Sus scrofa: one gene and its partner. The protein of the gene in region 2 interacts with the protein of the main gene of each other region in a pairwise test. Links are inferred from orthologs where the notes say so. Each region holds a gene or a part of one and is shown on either strand. Other genes may lie near its edges.

Region 1 (5,936 bases), on a different chromosome or scaffold from region 2:
AGCTCAGGACCCTCAACCCAGAAAAAATGTAGAATTTGTCAATCAAATTCAGGGAGCTCACAGGTACCCTGAAGTCATCCATGGACAGTGTTCAGGATTGAAACCCCTGACTGTAGTGGGTGAAATCCACAGGCCACAAGATCCTTTCAATAGTGACACGTGTCCCACCCCACCACCCCACCCCGCCCCATCTCACCCCACCTATTACCTGCTTTCGTAACTCCCTGTTACCTGCTTTCATACCTCCCTGAATTTTCCTTCACAGAATTGCTTGTAATCACATATTTATGTGATTTATATTTGAGGTCTGTCTGTCCACTAGTCATTAAGCTACAAGCCTCCCACTCCAGAGATTAGGACCCAATCCCCCAGGTACTGGAACACCCTATCAGTGTTCCAGTGGATCTGGGGATGGAGTTCTTACCTGAGGATGGGAGGAGGTTCTAGGGCGGACAGATTGACCTGGTACAAGGCCTCAAATTCAGCCCGGGTGCAGCAGGAGCCGCCTGCAGCCAGCAGGTGGCAGCAGTAGGCTTCCTCTGGGGTATCCGTGAGCCGGGGACAGAAGAAACCCGAGTAGCGACGGCCATCAGCATCCCAGGAGGTCTGGCACAAGTGGGGGTAGTGGACCAAGGCTGAAGAGAGGGCAAGAGGGCTGGAGACAAGCAGCAATGATCTACCTACACCCCACTCCACCTCTTTCGGCGAGTGAAAGGGATCAGTCACTATCAGATGGGCAGGCTTCTTCCCTCCCAACCAGCTGCCCAGAGTAGCCCGTACCCTGCTAAAAGAGTGGGGTAACCAGCAGGGTGGTGAGCAGAGAGTACAGTACCTGAGAGAGAGGTCGGCTGGGCAAGCGTTGTCCAGCTGAAGAGCAGCAGTAGCCCCGTCGACAGGCCTGTCAGCAAAGAGCCTGGCCTCTTCTGAAAGCCCATGAGAGGTCACCTCCACCTTAGCCCTGGTCCTAGAAACCCCAACATCTCTATTTCTAAGCCCTGGCTTCAGACAGAGAGGAAATAAAAATCAAAGCCCCAAAGCACCATTAACACAAACCTGAAGCTTCTCTGTCACAGAACTCTAGAGAGAGATGAAAGTGACTTTCTATCTTCTGTTGGAAAATGCAGGGACTGTGGCTCCAAGCTGACAGGCTGAAGGGGAAAAGGCTCAGAATGAAGAATGAAAGAGAAGTTGAGCCGTTAGCCTGAAAAATAGACAAACAATTAGAACCATATATGTTTTCTCTCCACTCTCTCTCAATTTTCAGGCGGCAGTGGACGCCCTGAGAATTGATTGTTCCATTTCACGCCCCAGAGACCTTAGTTCCAGCATTGGGAGCCTCCCTCCCTAATATCTGCATCGTGGCAACCACCAAGACTAGCTGAAAACCAAGGGCGAGTGCTTTCACTAACTTTTCCCCTGAGCCCTCATCTGCCCCAGCTACCAGCCAAAGTACAAAAGCTTCCAGTATGACTGGAGGGAGTATACTTAGCAACCAGCCAACCCCATATCACAAGGAATGCTCTTCCAATGTCCCTAGGTCTGTCTTGGCCCTCATACATCATAGATGCTGTCTGCTGAGACATGGGATTTCTCCAGAAGGCCAAAGGCTCCCAGCAAACAGTGTTGTGTTGTTCTACTGAGGCCTGACAATGCCATGCTCCCAGAACAGCAGAAGCAACACTCCAGGGGCCTGGCCCAGTGGCTGGGGACTGAAATAGGAACCCTTATGGCACAAGAAACAAATGCAAATTTTTGTTCCCAGCACTTGAGAGCAAAGAAGACAGTTCCTGCAGAAACAGCACTGCTATTTAGACATAGGCCTGGGAGCCTAAGTCTGAAGTAATTAGGGAGGGAGTTCTCCCAGTGTAGGCCCCAATTTCCAGAAGGTCAGGTCCTAAGGCCTTCTGGCCCAAAGGTGAAGTTCCCATGCCCATAGCAACCAGGCCATCCTTGCAGGGAAAACTTTTTTTTTTTTTTTTTTTTGTCTTTTTAGGGCTCCAACCACGGCATATGGAAGTTCCCAAGCTAGGGGTTGAATCAGAGATACAGCTGCTGGCCTAGGCCACAGCCACAGTGACGTGGGATCCAAGCCACTTCTTCCACCTACACCACAGCTCACGGCAATACTGGATCCTTAACCCACTGAGCGAGGCCAGGGATTGAACCCGCATCCTCACAGATACTAGTCGGATTCGTTTCTGCTGAGCCACAACAGGAACTCCCAGGGAAAACAATTTTTAGAGAGCTTTGAGAATTTTCAGAGCCCTGACAGGTTGAAGATTATCTTTTCATGGCGGGAGAGGCCCAGTCCTGGGAGAAGCCGTCCCTGGCCGGGAGGCTAGGTGAATTGGCCTTCCTCCAAATTTTCATTGTCCCCTGCCTTCCTGCCCTGGACACACTTTGAGGCCACAGTCTTATACCTTGTCTGTTTTCCTCCTTCCCTTAGGCTCTGGGCTCCCAGAAGGCCAGGCTATATTATTCTGGCACCCTCAGCAGAGCGCCCTTAAGCAGGGGCTGAGATGCCTCCCACACCCACTTCTCCTTGCCCAGGATGTCAGCCCCAGAAGAACCCTGGCTCAGACTCCGCAATCCTCGGGCCTCCGCGGCGCCAGGGGGCGCTGTCCACGCCTGGTCCACGTTCCCCGGACCGAAGTCCCCCGCGCGATGGGTTCCGAGGTGGCCCAGCTGCTGGAGGCTGCCGACTTCGCGGCTCGCAAGCACCAGCGACAGCGGCGGAAGGACCCCGAAGGAACCCCTTACATCAACCACCCTATCGGTGGGCGCGCCGCCGGAGGAGCAACGGCAGCAGCTTCTAGGGAGTGGGATCCGGGAAGGGAACGCGGAGGGCGTATACTTCATTGAGCGCCTAGTCTGTACCAAGATTTGTGCCAGGCACTGTTCGTGTTTAAAATTCACAACAGCCGGGGGCGGTAGGCTTGATTGTTCCCTTTGTATGCGAAATAGAGTAAAGAACTTGCCCAAGGTCCCCCAGCTACTGAGGGGCCATATCTGGCTCTACAAACCCCACAACGTGCCGCCCTGGTGACTCCCTCCTGTCTGACTTCCTGCTTTGCCCCGTCAGGTGTGGCTCGGATCCTGACCCGTGAGGCGGGAATCACTGACATTGTGGTGTTACAGGTAACTTTCCCCCTTCTCTGCTAGGAGGCTGGGGAGGGGTTCAGGAGCCCCATTCAGCCCTGGGGCTGGCGTCACAGGACTGAATGGAAGCCTGTCCGCAGGCAGCCCTGCTCCATGACACGGTGGAGGACACAGACACCACCCTGGATGAGGTGGAGCTGCACTTTGGGGTACAAGTGCGGCGTCTGGTGGAGGAGGTAACAGATGACAAGACTCTGCCCAAGCTGGAGAGAAAGCAGTTGCAGGTGGAGCAGGCACCCCACAGCAGCCCAGGGGCTAAACTGGTGAAGCTGGCAGACAAGCTGTACAATCTGAGGGACCTGAATCGCTGCACCCCAGAGGGTACGCTCCCCAGCCCCCTGCTCTGAGGGAACCTCTGCACAGGTTGGTTAGTTCCCCTGGGGGAAAAAAAAAAAGTCTGGGTGTTCTTGTTAGTTCCCTAGACCAATCTTACTGGAGCACTCTGATCTTTCACACAGTAGATTCACAGCAACTGGGCCAAGGGGTGGTTTTCAGGACAGATCCTTCCATTAGGAACTCATCTCACAGCCCGGCACCAAACCCCCCAGGAAGTGGGCAAAATACACTACTGTCCTGAACGTCAACATGAGCAGTTTTTTGTCCATTCTTAATGCAGGATGGTCTGAGCGTCGAGTCCAGGAATACTTTGAGTGGGCAGCACAGGTGGTGAAGGGGCTTCAGGGGACAAACCAACAGCTGGAAGAGGCTCTAAAGCAGCTGTTTAAGGAGCGGGGACTGACAGTCTGAGCAGTACTAGGAGCCATCCGATGGTACAGACTCCATCCCTTTGCCCAGGCCAGAGAAGAGTCATGGTCCAGCCTTTCAGTGCCTCCTGAGCTCCCTCCTGGCTTTGCTCAGCCCAGATATTAGATCATAAAATACTTGTCTTTTCTCACTCTGAAGATGTCCTGCCAATGAAACTGAGCCCAGGTTGAAGGATGATGCACCCTGTCCTTTTTTTTTTTTTTTTTTTTTTTTGCTTTTGCTTTTTAGGGCTGCATGTTTAGCACATGTAAGTTCTCAGGCTAGTGGTGGAATTGGAGCTGTAGCTGCCAGCCTACTCCACAGCCACAGCAACATGGGATCTGAGCCTCATCTGCAACCTACACCACAGCTCACAGCAATGGGGGATCCTTAACCCACTGAGCAAGGCCAGGGTATTGAACCCACAACCTCATGGTTACTAGTCATATATGAACCTGCATCCTCCTAAATACTAGTCGGAGCCACAACAGAAAGTCCCACCCTGTCCATTCCTAATGCCGTCAATGTCCTCCTGGCCTTGGGTCTGTTTCTTGTTTTGCCTGATGGGCTATCAGGCCCCTCAGGGACTTGGGCTTATATATATATAAATGTTAGTTGGAAAGTCATTATGCAAAATAAAGCCTTTAGATAAAGCTTTGTGTCTGTGCTGCTCCTTCTCCTGCCTCCCCAGTGGGGAACCAGCAGGGCAGGGTTTCAATATGCATGAGGCCTCGACCCCTCAATTGCCAGGGTTGGATTACTTGACATGCCTGATGGGCCCTGAGATTTAGGTGCTCAAAACCTGGTAGACGTCCTGGGTGGAGAGGCGTGCTAGCCTGCTTACTGACAGCTCTTCTGAGCCCAGCAGCAACGTGATAGGGCCGTTGAGGGGCTGCGGGTCCCTCATAGTCCCGGTTGCAGTGTAAACTTGCCAAGGTTTGCAGCCATCCCTAGGCTCATCCCTGGTTTTGTTGGTTACTAAGCGATAGGAATTTCTGGATGCCTGAGGAAGTCCGCCCCCGGACCTGACCCACCTTTGGAGACAGGCGGTAGGCGGGGTCTGGGAGGTGGGCGGAGCTCCTCAAGGCGTCCCAGCGGAAGGATCAAGGAGTGTTGGTGGGGTTTTGGTAGCTGCTGAGCAGCTGAGGCTAGTAACCCACTTGGAAAGGGTAAATCTTGGAGGTTGAGGAGGTTATTAGCTAAAAGGTGATGTTTTACAAACCCCTTCAGGTGTTACCTCATCTGTTCTTTATAATAACTGGATGAGATAGGCAGGATGGGGATTGTTCCCATTTTACAGAGATGAAATAGAAAGCTCGGAGAGGTGATCAAATAGACGGAACGAACAGTGACAGAATCGGGACCAGAATTCCTCTCTGTTTTGGCCATAGCGCTGGGTGTTTTTTTTTTTTGTCTTTTTTAGGACCACACCCGCGGCATATAGAAAGAAGTTCCCAGGCTAACAATCAGAGCTGTAGCCCCCAGCCTACCCAGGGCCACAGCAACACAGGATCCGAACCACGTCTGCAACCTACACTACAGCTCACCGCAGGCCGGATCCTTACTCCATGAAGCCGAGTCCTCAGGGATGCTAGTCAGGTTAACTGCTGAGCCACGACAAGAACACCTGCTGGGCCTTTTTCACCAGACTAGAATGACCACAACTGAAGTTAGCTCCAACCACACTGGACATAGTAAAAGTCTTAAGAAGCTAGTGGATCTGGATTATAAGTATGAGGCCTTCCCAGATAACCTGTTTGATCTGAGCCAATATAGTGGATTTTTTTATTCAATATCAGAATTTAAAAAGTTATTTATTTAAATCAGAAATTTATGGAAAGATCAGAAGTACAACCTAAGTAACCTTTTTCCCTGAACCACTCAAGGTTAACTTGCTAAACTGAGGCCCTATCACCCCTAAATACTTAAGTATTTAAACAAAGAAATTCTCCTATATAAACCAAACTATAACCATCAACATCAGGAAATTAATGTTATTACTATCTTAAGTCTCTGACGATAGAAGTCTGCAC
Region 2 (6,502 bases):
GATCAGAAACTTTAGGTATACTGGTAAGCATTAATACAAAGCTAGGGCATGTTCTCATCTTTTTGTTTTCATATTACCAAACCCAACCAGGCACACCATGCTCTCCAATTCACAAAGTACTCATACTATATAATCTGAGACTTTTGCAACCATATATTTTAAAGGACTCATCGAGCCCTGAAAGGCAAATGCTATCATTCAAGTTCTAATTACATGCTACCTGGGTTTTACAGAACAGAAAAAAAAAAAAAAAATGAGTACTATACTTCCTAAATACATTTTTTTGACCATAAGTAACTTCCGAAATAAATGCCCCAAATATTTTCTGAATGTATCACTGTTGAAATAGCTCAAGCACTAGACTATTCAAATTGTGTTCTAGTTTCTATTTATGCTACTTCTACTTGATAAATTGGTCAATAAATGCCAAGCCAAATATTCAAGTAAATATATTTTCATTGTTATTGGCAGACATATAATTAACTCTAAGAATAAAAGAAACAAGAAATCAATTTATGATTACTTGTTCAGTTCTTCCCATTAGTCATTTACATTGTAACTGTGACTCTACTTTTAAAATATTTATATACACATACACACACACACATACTCCATGTTGACTATATCATAAATCAAGTTATTCCAATTGCAAATTAGTACTGTACGAACTGTGAACCTCATGAGTTAATTTTATTAGTAAAACAACAATTGCTTTGCTACCCACATATATGAGCTGATTAAAAAGCAATGCACATTTATGAGCCTATATTAATTATAATTCCAGCATATGTTTCTAAACAATGCTAGGGATTTGCTCTGTCTTCTCTCAAGAATAAACAGTGAATCAACTCTTGCATGCATGTGTATATATCAGCAAATTACATTTCCATTTTCAGCAAAATAGGCTGCTAACCAAGAAAATATTACCAACAGTAAATCTACTTTTTTCAAAGAAGATATTCAAAGAGTAAAATTTTTTTAACATTTGTTATCTGCCAGGTCAATATCTTCGCCAGTCCAGGAAAAATACATCTGTACGAAAACTTACATAAGTAAACTTTAAAAAATATTGCCCTAGACCAGAGGCAAAAGCTTCAGATACACTAGTATATGTGAATTTCACAGAGAAAAAAGTTTAAGATGAGCTCAAAAAAACTGCTTTAATAAAATATGCTGTCATCATTCAATTATTACTTTGATTCCTGTAGTTTGTTTAAAATTATATACCATGGATAAGTCATTTAACCTCTCATTTTCCTGCCTTCAAAAAGGGGATTAATGATGATACCTCATCACAGGATTCCTGGCAGGATTAAAGGAATTAATACAAGTAAAGCATTTAGAACAGTGCCCAGCATACAGTAAGTGCTCAATAAGTGTTAGCTATACATTACCTCATTGCATATGTTTTGCCTATTATACTAATTTATAGTTTCCAATCCCGAAAGTATCTTAATTCTTTTTAAGGAAAAATTTAAGCTAAATCATAACATTCTTAATGCTTTCTTCATGCCATAAGCTTTCAGTGTTGCTGGTAGCAGCTAGTTTATCTGCTACTCACAGGCAAAACAGGACCAAGAGTTTCACTGAATAATATTTCCAAATTCTATTTTAAAAGACAACACTCTCCATATTATCTCCCTATGAGTACTCATTAATTTATTCAAAACACTAATGTATACTATGTGCTAGGCACTGAATACAGGCTGTAGGAATAAAATTAATGGTTAAAAAAAAAAATTCTAGGAGTTCCCTGGTGGCTCAGTGGGTTAAGGATCTAGTGTTGTCACTGCTGTGGTACAGGTTCAATCCCTGGCCAGGGAATATCCGCATGCTATAGCCATGGCCAAAAAATAAAATAAAAATTAAAAAATCCAAATATATTGCTCACAAGATAATAAGGGATATGAACACAAGTATGTACTGTTTAGTTGTGGTACCCCGAATGCTATGATAAAAAATTTTTCCAAGATGTACAAGGGAGGGCTCATGGTGAAGTTGAAACAAGTCTTGAAAGGAAGAAGAGAAGAAGCCTGCCAGGTGGAGAAAGAATCTATGATTATTTTAAACAAAAAGAGAACAGAAAATTTCTCACAGTGGTAAGTCGATTTGACTTATTTTAGCAAAGAGACTTTCTCAAACAGATTTCCCATTGCACACTGCAGCAGAGTTTATCTTTAGGAGTTGAATAAATATTTTTGTATGACAGTCTGCCCCTACCCATAGTGAGGCCTTTATTGTGACATATTTGGATGATGTTCTTAGTTCCCATTCTCCCAGAGCTCAGAGAGAGCTTCCTAAAGCCACTTTTATCACACCATTCCCTGATCAAAAACCTACAATGGTTTCCTCCTATTTCCAGATATCAGCCCTCTGCTTTGGGAGATTTCTCTCCCAATATGCCTCAGCCATGTCTCCCTTTGGTTCACATTCTCCCCCTGCTTCAAATGCTTTTCACCTACCACTCTCCTAAATCCTACCCACACTTCAAAATCCTCCCTCAAGAAGTCATCTGATTCCTTTGCTTCTATTTCAAATAACAGATCTTTACAAATGCTGCAGCCAAGTGTGAAACGCTAGTGGGAAAATTATCCTTTTGGATGAAAGACATGTCCAAAATGTGGTAGAGAGTTGAAAAACAAAAGGCAGACACTCATCGGAAAGTTACATTCAACTGTTACATCAACACAGCACACTTCTTAAATTATTTATCACTCAAAATTTATATCCCTTACCAACTACTTATTGAATTATTCTTTTCCCAATGGCATTGTGCTCTTCTGAAACGTTAATCATGCTGCAACACAATGAATTCTTTACTTAAACTGGTTTCTTTAGCACAAATTCTTGTTAGGATGGAAGTTCTGGATTCAGAACTTTATTACCAGACAACATGTAACTACACTAACTGGCATGGTAGCACGCTTCCTATTAAAAAAACAATAATAATAATGGAAGGACAATTAGTTAAACAGTAAAGTATCCTCCAAAAGTCGAGTGAAAACACTTTTTCAAGTGATAATGAGCATGCTGTGTATGTTACTACCTTAGATTCCAACTTGATTTTCTCTTCATTCAGCTCCTCTGCCGCTTTCTTAATATTTTCACGACATCTGTTTATCTCCGACCTCACTGTAAAACAAATGCTTAAACATCCATCCATCTTTCTGGAGTCCCCATTTCAGGGCTTGTGATAAGACACCTTGCAGCTGTCTTCCCCTCGACGTGGAAAGCAGACCCCCTGCTCTGTCCGCGGCCTGGGCATTTCTTTCTGCTCCAAGCCCCCAACCCAAGAAGACCCAGGGCCCCAGGCAAACGCCCGACCTTCTCGCAGCAAGCGGCGACTCTCCTCCGCCCGGTGCTCAGAGAAGATGATGTGCTGAAACAAGGACTCCAGACTCATCTCGGGCCGGGCACCCGCCAATCCCTTTTTCACTCTTAAATATTTTATAACCGAGTCTGAGGATCCTGGAAAGAAAGCACAATAAAGGATTATTCCAGGACAATGCCTAGCTGGGCCTCGCGCGACCTGCGCCCTGCCCTCGCCAAGGGCGGGCCCCACGCGGGCTGACGGGAAGCTCCCAGCGCCTCGAAACGTGCTCCCAGCCCCCGGTTCATCTCTTACGAGGGACAAATCCGCTTTTTTCTCCCCGGCGCCCTCGTTTCGCCTGTGACCTGTCTCAAACTGCTACTTCCCGGGACTGAGCGCAGCCCTCCTCCGCCGAGGCCCAGGAGCCTGGACGGGTTTCTTTATTCTGGCGGCAAAAAAAATGGAGGCCCTAAGGCCTCGGCTTCGGAGTGGTCTGGACGGCAGCCCTTTCTGTGGTCCGCCTTTTCCTTTCAGCCCCCTCCCTTTTAGGGAAAAGGTCCTCAAAATACTCCACCTCTTAGCAAAACCTGTACTTGTAATTATACTGTGGGCTGCAGACCTCGCAGAAGCCCGCGGACAGCGCCTCAAGCTGGCCGGAGCAGATGGGAACTGAAACTACGGCGTCCGGTTGGGTCCACTGCGCATTCGCGTCTTTTGCTTTGCTTTGCTTTGCTTTGCTTTGCTTTGCTTTGCTTTGCTTTGCTTTGCTTTGCTTTGCTTTGCTGTGGCCATGTGGTCCTCAAAGGTCTTAGGCCGAGCTTGGAGTTGGGGTGATCTGTCTCCAAGGATCAAACCCAGGATTATAAAGTACAAAGTACCTGTGATTCTAAATATAGACTTTTGCAAAGTCTTATCCTTTGACGATGGGAAAGATTGCTATAAATGTGCAGTGTCTGACATTCGCCTTAATCATTCCTTTGTAATCAGGGCAGATCTTTTTTGTCTGCTTTAAAATTAATCATTGCCTTTTGTAATCAAGCTGCAGTAATATTAACACTACAGTATCTGCGCAATATGTGTCAGAGACCAAAGTGGTTGCTAATTAAAGCTTAAACATGAAAGGCACCTTTGGGACTTTGATATGGGATTTTTTTAAATTAAAAAATAAAATACTTTTAGTTTTAACAGAACAAAATATTAAGAGTATAATAAACATTTGACTTTGTATCTTAATGTTAAATTGACATTGGCTAAACTTTTAAAATGTATTTAGTATTAAGCAAAAAAAAGATAAATATAAATTCTGTCACATCAGTATAATAAACTTAATTAATATTTTATTAATGCTGTAGCATAATCAGTTAGAAATGTTAACCTTTTCAAATTTCCTCTTAAATTTCTGTCAAGCCATGTATACAGAAAACTTAATTTTTAAACTTTATTGTGAAAGAATACATACTGAAAAGTGTAATGAAGTAGAAAAGAATTGCCCATAAATTGCCCATTCAGAAGCAAATATTAATAACATTTTGATTATTGTTCTTTAAGTAATCTTCCTCACCTTGCATTTTTTTCTTTACAAATATATTGTGATGAAGTAATAATAATTGTTGTTATTTATTGAGTATTTGCCAGATACCAATCCTTTTGAGATGATTTTTACTACAACCTTCATAGAATAATTGAGGAAACAGGCACATATCTTGCCAAAGCTGCATATCTAGTAGGTGGCAGAGCAAGATCTGAAATCAAGAAATCTGAGATCAGAGACCATGAATTTAATTTTGGATTCTGCTCTTTTCCCCTCTTATTACTTCACAAGCATTTTACCATTTCATTGAAAACTCTTCATGAATGCATTTTTATAACTTCATAATCCTCCATCATATGGATGCCTGTGTAAAATTTAGATATATTGAAATAAATTTGACTCTGTTATCTGTTCAAGGATGGAAAACAAAGCTAAAATTGTGGTTGAGCCCTTTTCTTCGAGCACTCGTTTGGAGGCTTATGAACTGTGCCACAGCAGCCATCAAAGGAAAGGGCTTCCAAAGATAAATTATATTACTAATTAATACCACTCCCTTCAGAATTATTTCCTGTGGACGTGCATAGGGAGCACCCTCACAAGGAAGCTGGTTTTCAAAAGCATGCTTCTCTTTAACATTCCAATTTTATTAGTTATACTTGTACTCACATTTATTATTTAACATGATCTTTCTGTACTGAAACTTGGCAGAGTGAAATTTGGGCAGACTTTAAGGAGCCCAGTCACCTCTCTCACACAGGAATATGGAAGAGAAGGCTGCTAGAAATCTGGGAAAGAGGTGTGGGGAAAAATGCCTTCTTCATCTTCTGTAGTCTTCTTCACATCCCAAAATACTTTGGTGCTTTTAAATCCCAAGTTTGAGTTTTCGTAGAAGTACCACAATTGTAGGCATTAGAAGGGTTTTATTAATTTTATTTATTGAAGCAAACATGATTATGCAAGCTCATAATTCAAATTTTATGTGTTTCATAATTATGAGTAAAAGTAACATAGTAAGATATTAAAATATTCCTATCATATATCTAGCTTTATTCATACATTTCCCATAGAGTTAAGATTTTTTTATTGTGGATATACATGCTGATTCCATTCTATAATGTTCAGAGCAAGAGTAGCATTACCTAAATTTATGCCAAATAAAAATGGTATATGACATGGTAAAACTAGGGCATTCTATTTTCTGAAAATGTATCTTACAAGTCTAAAAAAAGAGAAACGATTCATTCAACAACTGTTTAATGAGTCTCTGTTATTCATTCAACAAATATTATTGAGCATCTCCTATGTGCCATATTAGAGAAACAACAACAGGATTTAATAAAAACAGAACTACATAAAAAGTATTTTCCTTCCCCCAGATATTTCAAACCTCAGTGGAGAATTATTATATTTTTCAGTATTTTGGCAGCAGTATAAACAACTGCTTTCAGATGTTTCAACAGATGTTCTTTAGAAAGAAAGCCAATTATTTGCATTATGATACCCACATATGATTCTCAGATTTAAACTTTCCATCTGTACATGTTTCATTGAATTGCATACCTATGGAATATAAAAGTTGAGATCACTCACTGTCTCTCAACTTCAGATTTTTGTTCATAATAACACTAGCACCTGGGTTATTGAGCCATTGATAATTGCTT

Evidence for each region.
Region 1: the proteins of CCDC172 (region 2) and HDDC3 interact in binary tests that used the Homo sapiens proteins (3 or more experiments, as listed by UniProt). The two-hybrid records come from large-scale screens. The link is inferred for Sus scrofa from reciprocal best matches to the Homo sapiens genes CCDC172 and HDDC3.

What each region holds. Positions count from the first base shown.
Region 1 is NC_010449.5:53,524,604-53,530,539, reverse strand, and holds HDDC3 (guanosine-3',5'-bis(diphosphate) 3'-pyrophosphohydrolase MESH1), read left to right. Parts: upstream 1-2,649; 5' UTR 2,650-2,664; coding exon 2,665-2,776; intron 2,777-3,082; coding exon 3,083-3,138; intron 3,139-3,239; coding exon 3,240-3,480; coding exon of another isoform or gene 3,481-3,506; exon of another isoform or gene 3,507-3,522; intron 3,523-3,775; coding exon 3,776-3,906; 3' UTR 3,907-4,556; downstream 4,557-5,936. UniProt on the Homo sapiens protein: ppGpp hydrolyzing enzyme involved in starvation response.
Region 2 is NC_010456.5:126,546,588-126,553,089, reverse strand, and holds the start of CCDC172 (coiled-coil domain-containing protein 172), read right to left. Parts: upstream 3,979-6,502; 5' UTR 3,626-3,978; intron 3,469-3,625; 5' UTR 3,404-3,468; coding exon 3,325-3,403; intron 3,133-3,324; coding exon 3,047-3,132; intron 1-3,046.